Caenorhabditis elegans: one gene and its partner. The protein of the gene in region 2 interacts with the protein of the main gene of each other region in a pairwise test. Each region holds a gene or a part of one and is shown on either strand. Other genes may lie near its edges.

Region 1 (3,717 bases), 5.1 Mb from region 2:
AATTTGGAATCCTAAATGTAAATTTTTTGAGCACTGATGAATTTATTTCTATTTAGATAAAATCAGCGATCAAAAAGAAAAAAACAATAGAAAAAAGGCAAAAATAATAAAGCGAATTTGAAATTATCAAGGCAAAATTAGTTAACACATGTTCAGGGGGGATAGGTTTTCAGACAAAAAATGCACTAGTTGACTGGAAGGGGAAACATTACCAGTGGTGTAGGGATTGGAAGAGGATCTGGTTTTTTGCTACGTGGTGTTGAAAGGAAGTTAAGGAAAATTTTCCAGCCAATTTCGAGTTATTGGACTTTGAAGCGCAAGAGGCTCTGCGAGCAACTCTCAAAATATAGGAAATTTCAAGTTTCACAACTAAGTAACAAAATAACTTGCCAGCAAGTAAACGGGGGGAACAGATGAAAGCTCAGCTTTGGGGGGAAGGGAGAGAGATGGAATAGAATTATGTACGGTTTGATGCTTGTTTTACACTGGGAGACTAGATTGGGATCAATGAAGGGGGGGGGGGGGGGGGGGTCACTGGAATGATGGGGGGAGAATGCCGTGGAATAAATATGAGGATCCTAGGTGTCTAAATTATTGATTGGTTAATTGATGAAGCTGCAGGTTACTTGTTGAAGTTCTCGAGGATGTGGCGTTGGGGCATGCGTTGCTCTTTCATCGGGCCTCTGAAATTACAAATCGTTGAGAAACACTAAGGGTTTTATTCTGACTCACTTATTCCTGAGAAGCTGCTCCAAGGTGTCCTGGTCCCGACGTCTGGCGTCACGCTCGGACTGGAGGAGCCCTTCAAGCTCGGCGATGCGCCTCTTCATCTTGTCGTGCTCGGCTTCCTTCTTGTCCTGGAGCTCCTTTGCCTTTTTACGCGATTTTCTGACGGCATCATTGTTCCGGGCTCTTTTCAATTTGTAGGTCGGCTCAGCCTTCTCCTCGTCTGCCTTGAGTTTGTACTTTCTTGCTCTGGTCTGTGGCTTGAAGTTTTCCAGTCCGGCGGATTTAGTTTTCTTGCTCTTTGGCTCAAAGTAGGAGTCGTCAACGCTTCCGTCGTTATCCGTCATATCGCTGGACTCCTCCGAGTATTCCTTCTGGTAATCGTCATAAGGAACTGGGCGTTTGACAGCTCGGCGGGTCTTGGTAGCTCCGAAATCCGGTGTCTCAGCTTTCACTTCACAATTCATCTTGTACCCATCCTGATCATAATCCCCAGGCACTCGATAGCCAGTGCCGTACGCCACGTGGCGCTCATATCCGTTCAGCTCCGGTTGTTCGTAAGGATGCTCTCCGTCGTAAAGGATGTTGCACTTTTGGAGCTCGGCATCATCAAAATCCACATTGTCGGTAGGAACGTCAAGATCGTGGAGCACTTGCAGGTAGTCGCCAAGGTCCAGCTCAGTTTCCATAAAGTCCACTGGATGGCGTTCGCGGTCACGTTGCTGGAGGGATGCGGCAATGGTAAGAGAGTCCTGAAAATATCGATGACTAAGAGTGAGCAAGAGCACTTTATCCACTTACTTGTCTTGCGAAGGATCCGGCGGAGGAGGTGGAAGCTCCGTTGTTCGGCATGTCAGTGAACCCACGTACCTCGGATTGCTGGAGTCTTACCAGGTGTGGATGCTTGAGGGCCTGGTCGCCCTTTTGGTGGCTGTAGTTCAGCTTGCTATACATTTTCTTTATTCTGAAAAAAATACACTAAACTTAAAGAGAAGTTAAAGAGAAATAAGAGCAAACAGTTTGCGAAAAGGTTTCGAATGTTCTCGGTGAGAGGCGATGAGAAATAAAAAGAGAAACAGAGAAAGCAAGGAGGAAAAATGAGAAAAGTGAAATGATGACGTCATTGCCGCCGAATTTAGCAACCAGCTGCATAAGGGTGAGCAAGCGCTATGGGACACACCCAGAAGGTTATCAGTAGTTATCAAATGGGAGTGTGAATAAAATAAACTAAAAAGGTTACATTTCTTACAGATTTTAGAAACGATAACTCAAACTTTTAGACTTGCTCCAACACTAGAAAATGGATAAAAAATAGATATTTAAATTGTCTATAAAGTTGAAAAATTGTCAGAAAGGAAATCGACATCACAAATGACTATGTAACTGCTAATTTAAGAAGAAGGATTATCAACATAGAAATCGGCTTCTAACACTACAAAATACTCAAACCAGCTCGAGGAGCCCTCCACCAGACCCAACCGTCTCCGGATTGCGAAATGACAAACCCCGACACTTTTTTCCACGTCGACTTATAGCCATGGGCGGGGCGAGTTGTGTACAATTAGACTCCAAGGAGATGGATGAATACCGACGCTAGGAGGCAGGGCGCAAAGTATTGCGAAATCGGCGGCAATGTTGTGTTGTGAGAAGAGAGGAGGGGACAGGAGACGCAGAGCTTGCGATGAGTCACAACGCCGCCTCTGCGTCTCTTCCCGCTGCACACTATGCGGGGCGAGAGGAATGGGAGAAGCGCGAGTGGTTTTGTTGTTTGCTGGGAAAGACGCAGAGAAACCGAGGGAACTGGACTGTGAGTCATACATGTCATGCATACTGCAAAGTCATGAAAAACTGTCGTGGGGGAAAATGGAGATTGTAGGAGAGAGAGAGAAAAAAGAACAAACTAAATAGAATTGTTCCAAATTTGAACATGGTGCATCGGCTACACACTTCGACTGGTAGCCATAAAATAATCATTTTTAGTTAAAAAACTATAAAACAAATACTATGTTAGTTGGCAAATTGTTATAAATTCATTCAACATCTGTTCAGTTAGAAGGTAACGGCTCAACAAAAACTATTGCTCATCGTGCATCGATTGGGATCACAGTTCCCATTCTAGATCCTTGCTGGTAAATATTCCTATTTTTTTGAAAAACTATAAATTTTCAACTTCAAACCGCTAGAAAACGTAATAATAAGAATTTTTTCAATTGAAAATTTTCTGAAAATCTCAAAAACAACCAAGTTATAAGCTGTTCAAGTTAGAGTGCAATACTAAAGTGATTTTAATACATGGTGCATCGACAAGAATCATATGAACTTGACAGTCCATGTGTTGGCACGATTTTAGTTCTAAACTTATTTTTGACTACAAAATTCGAAAAATGTGATAAAAAAGTATTTTGTCAATTGTTGACAATTTATTACCGAAATCAAAAACAACCAAAATATTGTTTTCAAGGTATAAATTTATTCTTTACTACAAAATTATAGAAAATGTGACAAAAACAAATACAAGTTTCTCAAGTTAGAGAGCTATACTGAAAGAGTAATAACTAAACATGGTGCATCGATAAAAATCATATGACTTTGATAGTCTATATCAGGGCTGGGCGGCAATTGCCGTTCGGTAAATTGATTTGTCGACAAATTCGGCAAATCGGCAAATCGGCAAACCGGCTATTAGCCGATTTGCCGGAAATTTCCAATTCCGGCGATATGCCGGTTTGCCGATTTGCCGGAAATTTTAATTTACGGCAAGTTGCCGACTTGCCGATTTGCCGGATACCAGATTTGCCTGAAATGTTTAAAGGGGTTTTTTATAAGACGGAAGCACTTAACACTGTCTATTTTCGAATTTTTCTCGTTTTTTCTACATATTTTTTATAGAATATGCGTACTTCTCAAAATAGATATAGGAAAATTCATATGATGCGTTTAATTTTGCCATTTGAAATTGAAATTCCAAAAAATAAGTGCAAAACCACAATT
Region 2 (6,027 bases):
GGGAGATGGGGGTGCTTGTGGCGCAAGGTGAGAGTGCTCCGAGGAGCTGAGCCAGTTGTTTTGTTTGTTGCTCGCTCGGCTTGGCAGACAGAGAGCCTTCACTGGTGCCGTACGGTAGCCGGTCACTTGGATGTTTGCAAAACGACTTCAGGCGCTCTGGACCTCTGCGAATTGCCGCTGCCTCATTTTTGACGAAAAGCACAAAACACCAAGTCAAATAATTCTCGCGACAGCAGGGTATTTTTGTCATTGTGGAGATACAACGCATGTGAAAAAAAAACAATAATTCTCACAATGATTTTAAGTTTTCATTTCCCTTTTGTTTCTTGATAGGCAGCTCACAAAAAATTGCTGAGTGCGCTTTTTTATCAGCAGTTTAGTTCGCTGCTTCAAATTTCACTTTTTTTAAATGTTTTCTTTTTTCCAGCGATAAACACGGGTTACATGATTTAGTGATTTATGATGCAAATCGTAATCAATCACGAGAATTTTAGACTTATCAATGGCTTAAACTGTGGCACTGAAATGCAAAAGTTGAGCATATCAGAATATTATCAAATACGTAATTTTTTTGCAAGTTTATAAGGCGACAAACAAAATCAGACAGTGCGTCATAATTTCTTTGCAACATCAGCCAGCTAAATGTGTTTTGACTCCAGGGAACGTTAATGGACAATGAAATCAAAAAAAAAATAGGAGCAAAAATCGACCCACGCATCATCACAATTCCAGAGAGAATTGTGTGCACTTTCATACCGATTGATTCTTAGGATTTTCATTCGTCAAGATAGCTTGTTAGTTATTAAAACTTATTACCTTAGAGTCCACTACTTAGTATAGACTTGAAACACATTTCAAAACATTTCAACCGTGTCATTATTTTTCAATTTATAGATTCACCCATGTTTCTGGTCCGCCACGTTGTAGCTTGTTTATTCAATGACGTGCATTCCCAATTTCTAGCAATAAACCTGTTTCCAATTTTCATGACATCCTAACTCTTTATAATGAAAAAAATTGTGCACAATGCACATTCTTTTTTCTTCTTTACCTGTACTCCTTATGTAGTATGAATAAGAAAAGGTTTGTTCATTTGCATTGAATTATGGGGGGATGGCGCGGCGTAGTTTGCACCATTGAAAGAGGTCCCATCGTGTCTGACACGACCAACCTGACTCATCAATTTTAGAACCCTTCCCCCCCCCCCCCCCCACCCCCACACTTTTGTTCAAGCTCAGTACATTTTATTTATTATTTTATTATATTCGATCGGCTCAGTGATTGATCTTTTTTTAGTTTTTTAGTCGATGTCTTGCGAATATGTATTTGATATCGTCTTTTCAACCACAAATTTTTTCAAACTCTTCTCACGTTTTATTTAATGACGTTTCAGTATTTTGTCAGCAATTAGATCAGTTTTCAATTCAATATTGAATTGGTGTGCAACATGATTCACTGATAAAAATGGGCTTTTGCCCCCTAATTGACGCAATCAATGCTAACTCTCCAACAAACATATTTCGTGTAATAGATCATCGAGTTTTCAATTCAGTTTTCCATTGGCGCCATCAATTTCATTTTGTTACTTATCAGCTTATTTCTGGAAAAGCTTGGTTTCATGTGACACTGAGCGAGGCAATGATTAGGAGTGTCACACTAGTCAACCTCACGCGCGCCAGAAATCGCTTGACGCTCTGCTGATAACTTTTCCGAGTCGAAGCAAAAAAAGGGGTTGGGAATAGCGAAAATTAGCGATAAAATAAAATTTGACTGATTAACAGTGCCACTTTATTCGTTACTACTCTAGTGCACAAACAGGTCGACACTACTCTTCGGTCTCGACTTAACCTACCATCTTCAGTACTAACTTTTATTACTATCTCACTTGTACTGTTCAATATGACTGCTGCTTATTGTACGTATACCCTCTCTCATCATAGTGTTTATTTGAAAGATAAATCTTCTAATTTCCAGGCGAGACCCAATTTCATGGTTTGAACCAATTCGCGTTCCCGTTCAACAACTTGGAATACAAGTACGGAAGTTGTAAGTCTGACGGTTGGAATTATAATATTTCCAATAGTATTTTGTCACTCTAGATTCTTCATCAATGAACGGTACTGGCTCAGTCGGTCACAGATGGAATTCTCTGAGCCCGGAGCCACATTCCGGAACGGAGTCAACCGCAAGCACTCCTTTTGTTAAAAGCGAGTTCCCATTTGATGATGATCTATTCGGAATCGACCAGGTAAGTTTTTGTCTTCTTCTTTTTTGAGACCATGTGGGTGTGGTTGCGTTAATTATTTTATGCCTGCTCTGAAAACTGGTTATGATTACCAAAATTGAAGTTTGAAATAAGAACGTTTTTGGGAAAATGAGAGTAACAAACACACCTTACTCATTTTTATCAATCAGTTGAATCATCAATGTTTTTTTAAACGCAAGTTAGCTTCAATAATTTTTTGCTATTTTGAAATTTAGTTTACTTTATTTGTTCTCATATTCATTTTCTTTCACAGTAAGACACGTGCGTGCTATTTACGTCATAGATGCGATAATTGATAAGACCCGATTGATGGAGAAAATAGAGAAATAATTTTTTGAGTGACTTTTTTTGCATTTTAATCACGTTGGAAACAATCACAATGTACAACTATTTTAGGTAAACAACGTCAAACCACATCCGATGGATATGCCATGCAATCTTCCAATCCAACCCATCGAGTATAACCGTCGATTCTCAAAGGTAGTTTTACTGATTATCACACTGACCCCTCTGTATTATTATAATTTGCAGGACGCCGATCACAGCACGTTTGTGAAGAATGAGATTGAAGGTTGGTACTTTAGATGGATTAGATACATACAAACACCATTAACGACTGTTTTGAATGGTGTCAATCATAATCTCGGGTTCTTTTAACGCCTTCTTCTCCCTTTCGGACTTTCACTATCCCTTCATCGAAAAACATCTCATTTCGTTTGGCGGGAGATACTATTGAGAAAACACGTTTTCCTTCGATTAGGGTAGTTAGGCACAGGTCAGCTTTTTCTCTGGCTGACGGCACGCCTGGATTGACCAGTGAAAGTTTTCCAAGCGGCTACCGAATTAGTTGTGGGTCGGGGTCATGTTTTTTTAAGCTGCTTTGGCTAACCACAATAGAAAACAAAGTTGTGACCCATTACAAAGTAAAAAAGAAAAGGGCTTAGATATTAGGAAGATATGGAAATGTGTCAGGGTTAGAAAAGTGCGGGTGATACATGGATATGCATCAATGCTTGTTGTTTGAATGTTTACCACGAAAAAGTTCCAGAAAACATTCTCAATTTCAATGTCAATCCGGAGATTGCGCAAGACAACGGTCTTGACACCCAGCAAATTGACATCTACAGGGACCTGATTCTCCGTCATCTGATTCAAGACATCAGTACAACTTGTGCCAAATTGGGACTTCCAAATGGTACATTACTTATCCACAATACCTCATTTATATTTTTGGTCTCTAGATTTCTACCTGTGGTCATCCGAGCATGGAGCACGATGGATCAACGAGATGTGCATGCAATTCAATCTTCAGCCGCCTAGAAACTGTTCAATCACTGGTATTGATTTGCTCGGCATGAGTCAAAAAGATTTCGAAATGATTTTGCCGGCGGGAGGCGACACGTTGCATGCCCAACTCCAAGTGTGGAAGACCGGTACGTCAGATTACGTGAAAGGTGATGCGATTAGCATGACTATAAATCACGCCCTTTTTCTGATTGTCATCATGACGGTTATCAGTGACATGCTCACACGAAAACGAGACACCAATCCAATTCAATTTCAGCATTTGAAAACTATCATCCACCCGTGACCGTTCAGAGCTCCGGAATGACCGCTGCCGAAAATAACATGCAGTCAAAAACTAATTGGGTATGTAAATGTTGATTATGTCATTCCTCAGAATTTTCGGCGCGCAGTCTTTTTGTACCCCTATTTGCTCAATGCGTTTTTTTCATAAAGCCTTCTCGTATTTTTAGCTAGCCAGCACCAACAATCAAACAAACAACATGGCAGCTGCTGAGAACCCGAATCATCCATTTTTCAATGGAAACGGTTGGTTTCGAACCGGAAGCGTTTGATGTGAATAAGTAAATTGTATTTATAGGAGGGTATCCAAACATGTCGATGAGCAGCTTCTTTCAACAGGGAACTGTTTTGCCATCGCCAAGCAACAGCGATACCAGCAGCAATGGGAGCAGTCAAGACAGTATGACACGGGCTTATTAGTACTGTAACTAATTCAGAGTTTTTTAGTGAATGACGATGATATTGATCTTCACATGAACAATTCGAACTGTGGTTTCTCAAACTTCTTTCACAACCAGGGTTACATGAACTCCCCTATTGACGCAATGTGCAACGGAAGCGAGGGAGATGACGATGAGCGTGCCTACACTCGTCATCAAGGAACTGTTCATCTGTGGCAGTTTATTCGTGAGCTTTTGGATCAACCAAAACAGTACAGTGCATGTGTTCGATGGGTGGATAGAGATGAGGGAACTTTTAAAATCGAGTCTTCCCTCCTGCTGGCTAGATATTGGGGACAACGAAAAAACCGTTCACAGATGAATTATGACAAGTTGTCCAGAAGTCTTCGACAGTACTATAAGAAAGGTAAAAAGAATAGGAGGAAGTGTAAAACAAAAACGTTACAAATCAATATTCCAGGAATCATCCAAAAGCCGGAAAAGAAGCAGCGTTTGGTGTACAAATTCCTGCCTCCTTATAACTTGTAGTCATCTGGCAGAAAGACAACGACGTGTTGCTATCTGTGTATGTGTCAATACTCTGTTTACATTTTTCAACTTGTCCTGTCGGTCCAGTGTGGTCCCATTTCCCGATATCTGTGATTCAAGATATACTTCCATGTACTGTTCGTTGTAGAACATATTCCTATTGTGTCCCATACTTCTTTTTAATACCCGAGTCAATCATTCAAGGTTTTATTCAACTTCTTTATTTTCTTTTTTTTTCTCATTCTTTTTCAATTGTTGGGAACAATCAAAAAGTATTACAAATGTTATTACCATTTAGAGTGTGTAGTTCAGATGTCTGAATATTGTTTCACTCGATTTATTTATTGTAATGCAATATTTACCGGTTTGAAACCGTGCAATATGTTGTTCTCTATTTATTCTCGTTCTCATGTCAGAACTCTTCCTCTCTCCCAAATACTTTACCAAATAACGGCTCATATATCCACCAGTGACAGAAAAATAAGCGTTTTACTGAACTGTTCCCGATTGTATTTATACCAATATGATTATGTTAATTATAACAATTATAATATTGTATCAAAAAAATGTTTTAATTTTACATTCCATTTATACTCCAGCCTCCTTCCCCTGTTTACTAGCCTAGTTATCCCCCAAAGAAATTGTATTACAACAATGTGTAGTCCCAGTGTTTTTTTATATCATTGTGCAATTATTTATTCAGATTGTATTATATATTAATGAACCAGATAAATATTTTTTCAAAATATAAAACTTGGCTTTTAGCAAAACTAAAGATAAACATGAAAATGAAGGAAAGCTTTGAAAAGATGAATTATGAAACACAACGAATTTCGAATTCAACATTTAATTTCTCAATCAAAGTAGATCATCCTAGATATCCCATTTGATTGAACGACTCTGTATCCGATTGTGCAAGTCCAAAGGTCTCATAATCTGTGAAGAATTGCTGAAACAGAGAACGAAGGGTCATTACGTCAATACTTTTTTTGCTGAGCTACCTGTCCATTTCCATTATCATTGAGTGACATTTGTCCTCCGGCAGTAAAATAGTGTGGCTGATGGAGAAACGCTGAAAAGAGCAAAGATAAGCGGTGACCACGGATGGCTTGTTTGCGGTTACATGGGAATCGCAATGCAAAACACAAAAATCATCAACTGAAATTGATTGATACTTGCGGAAACTATAAGACACATATGAATGTAAATTTGAAATTTTCACGTAGAAAAACCTGAAAATAATTA

The links. The genes of interacting proteins can lie anywhere in the genome.
Region 1: the proteins of ets-4 (region 2) and cebp-1 interact in a two-hybrid assay, tested with the Caenorhabditis elegans proteins (one study listed by BioGRID).

Annotation. Positions count from the first base shown.
Region 1 is NC_003284.9:1,452,179-1,455,895, forward strand, and holds cebp-1 (CCAAT/enhancer-binding protein homolog 1), read right to left. Parts: upstream 1,691-3,717; 5' UTR 1,681-1,690; coding exon 1,528-1,680; intron 1,479-1,527; coding exon 733-1,478; intron 684-732; coding exon 623-683; 3' UTR 517-622; downstream 1-516. UniProt on the Caenorhabditis elegans protein: Transcription factor. Binds to promoter regions of target genes, perhaps at the motif 5'-[AGCT]TT[AGT][TC]GAAA[ACT]-3'.
Region 2 is NC_003284.9:6,517,133-6,523,159, forward strand, and holds ets-4 (Transcription factor ets-4), read left to right. Parts: upstream 1-1,803; 5' UTR 1,804-1,899; coding exon 1,900-1,915; intron 1,916-1,974; coding exon 1,975-2,046; intron 2,047-2,099; coding exon 2,100-2,248; intron 2,249-2,662; coding exon 2,663-2,746; intron 2,747-2,797; coding exon 2,798-2,837; intron 2,838-2,950; exon of another isoform or gene 2,951-3,159; intron 3,160-3,314; coding exon 3,315-3,461; intron 3,462-3,507; coding exon 3,508-3,699; intron 3,700-3,830; coding exon 3,831-3,916; intron 3,917-4,023; coding exon 4,024-4,099; intron 4,100-4,151; coding exon 4,152-4,253; intron 4,254-4,300; coding exon 4,301-4,660; intron 4,661-4,714; coding exon 4,715-4,782; 3' UTR 4,783-5,524; downstream 5,525-6,027. Other genes in the region: Homeobox protein ceh-60, read right to left, coding at 5,651-5,731, 5,784-5,854. UniProt on the Caenorhabditis elegans protein: Transcription factor which binds to 5'-GGAA/T-3' DNA consensus sequences. Both positively and negatively regulates the expression of target genes. Plays a role in the regulation of adult lifespan, which may in part be through modulation of daf-16 activity.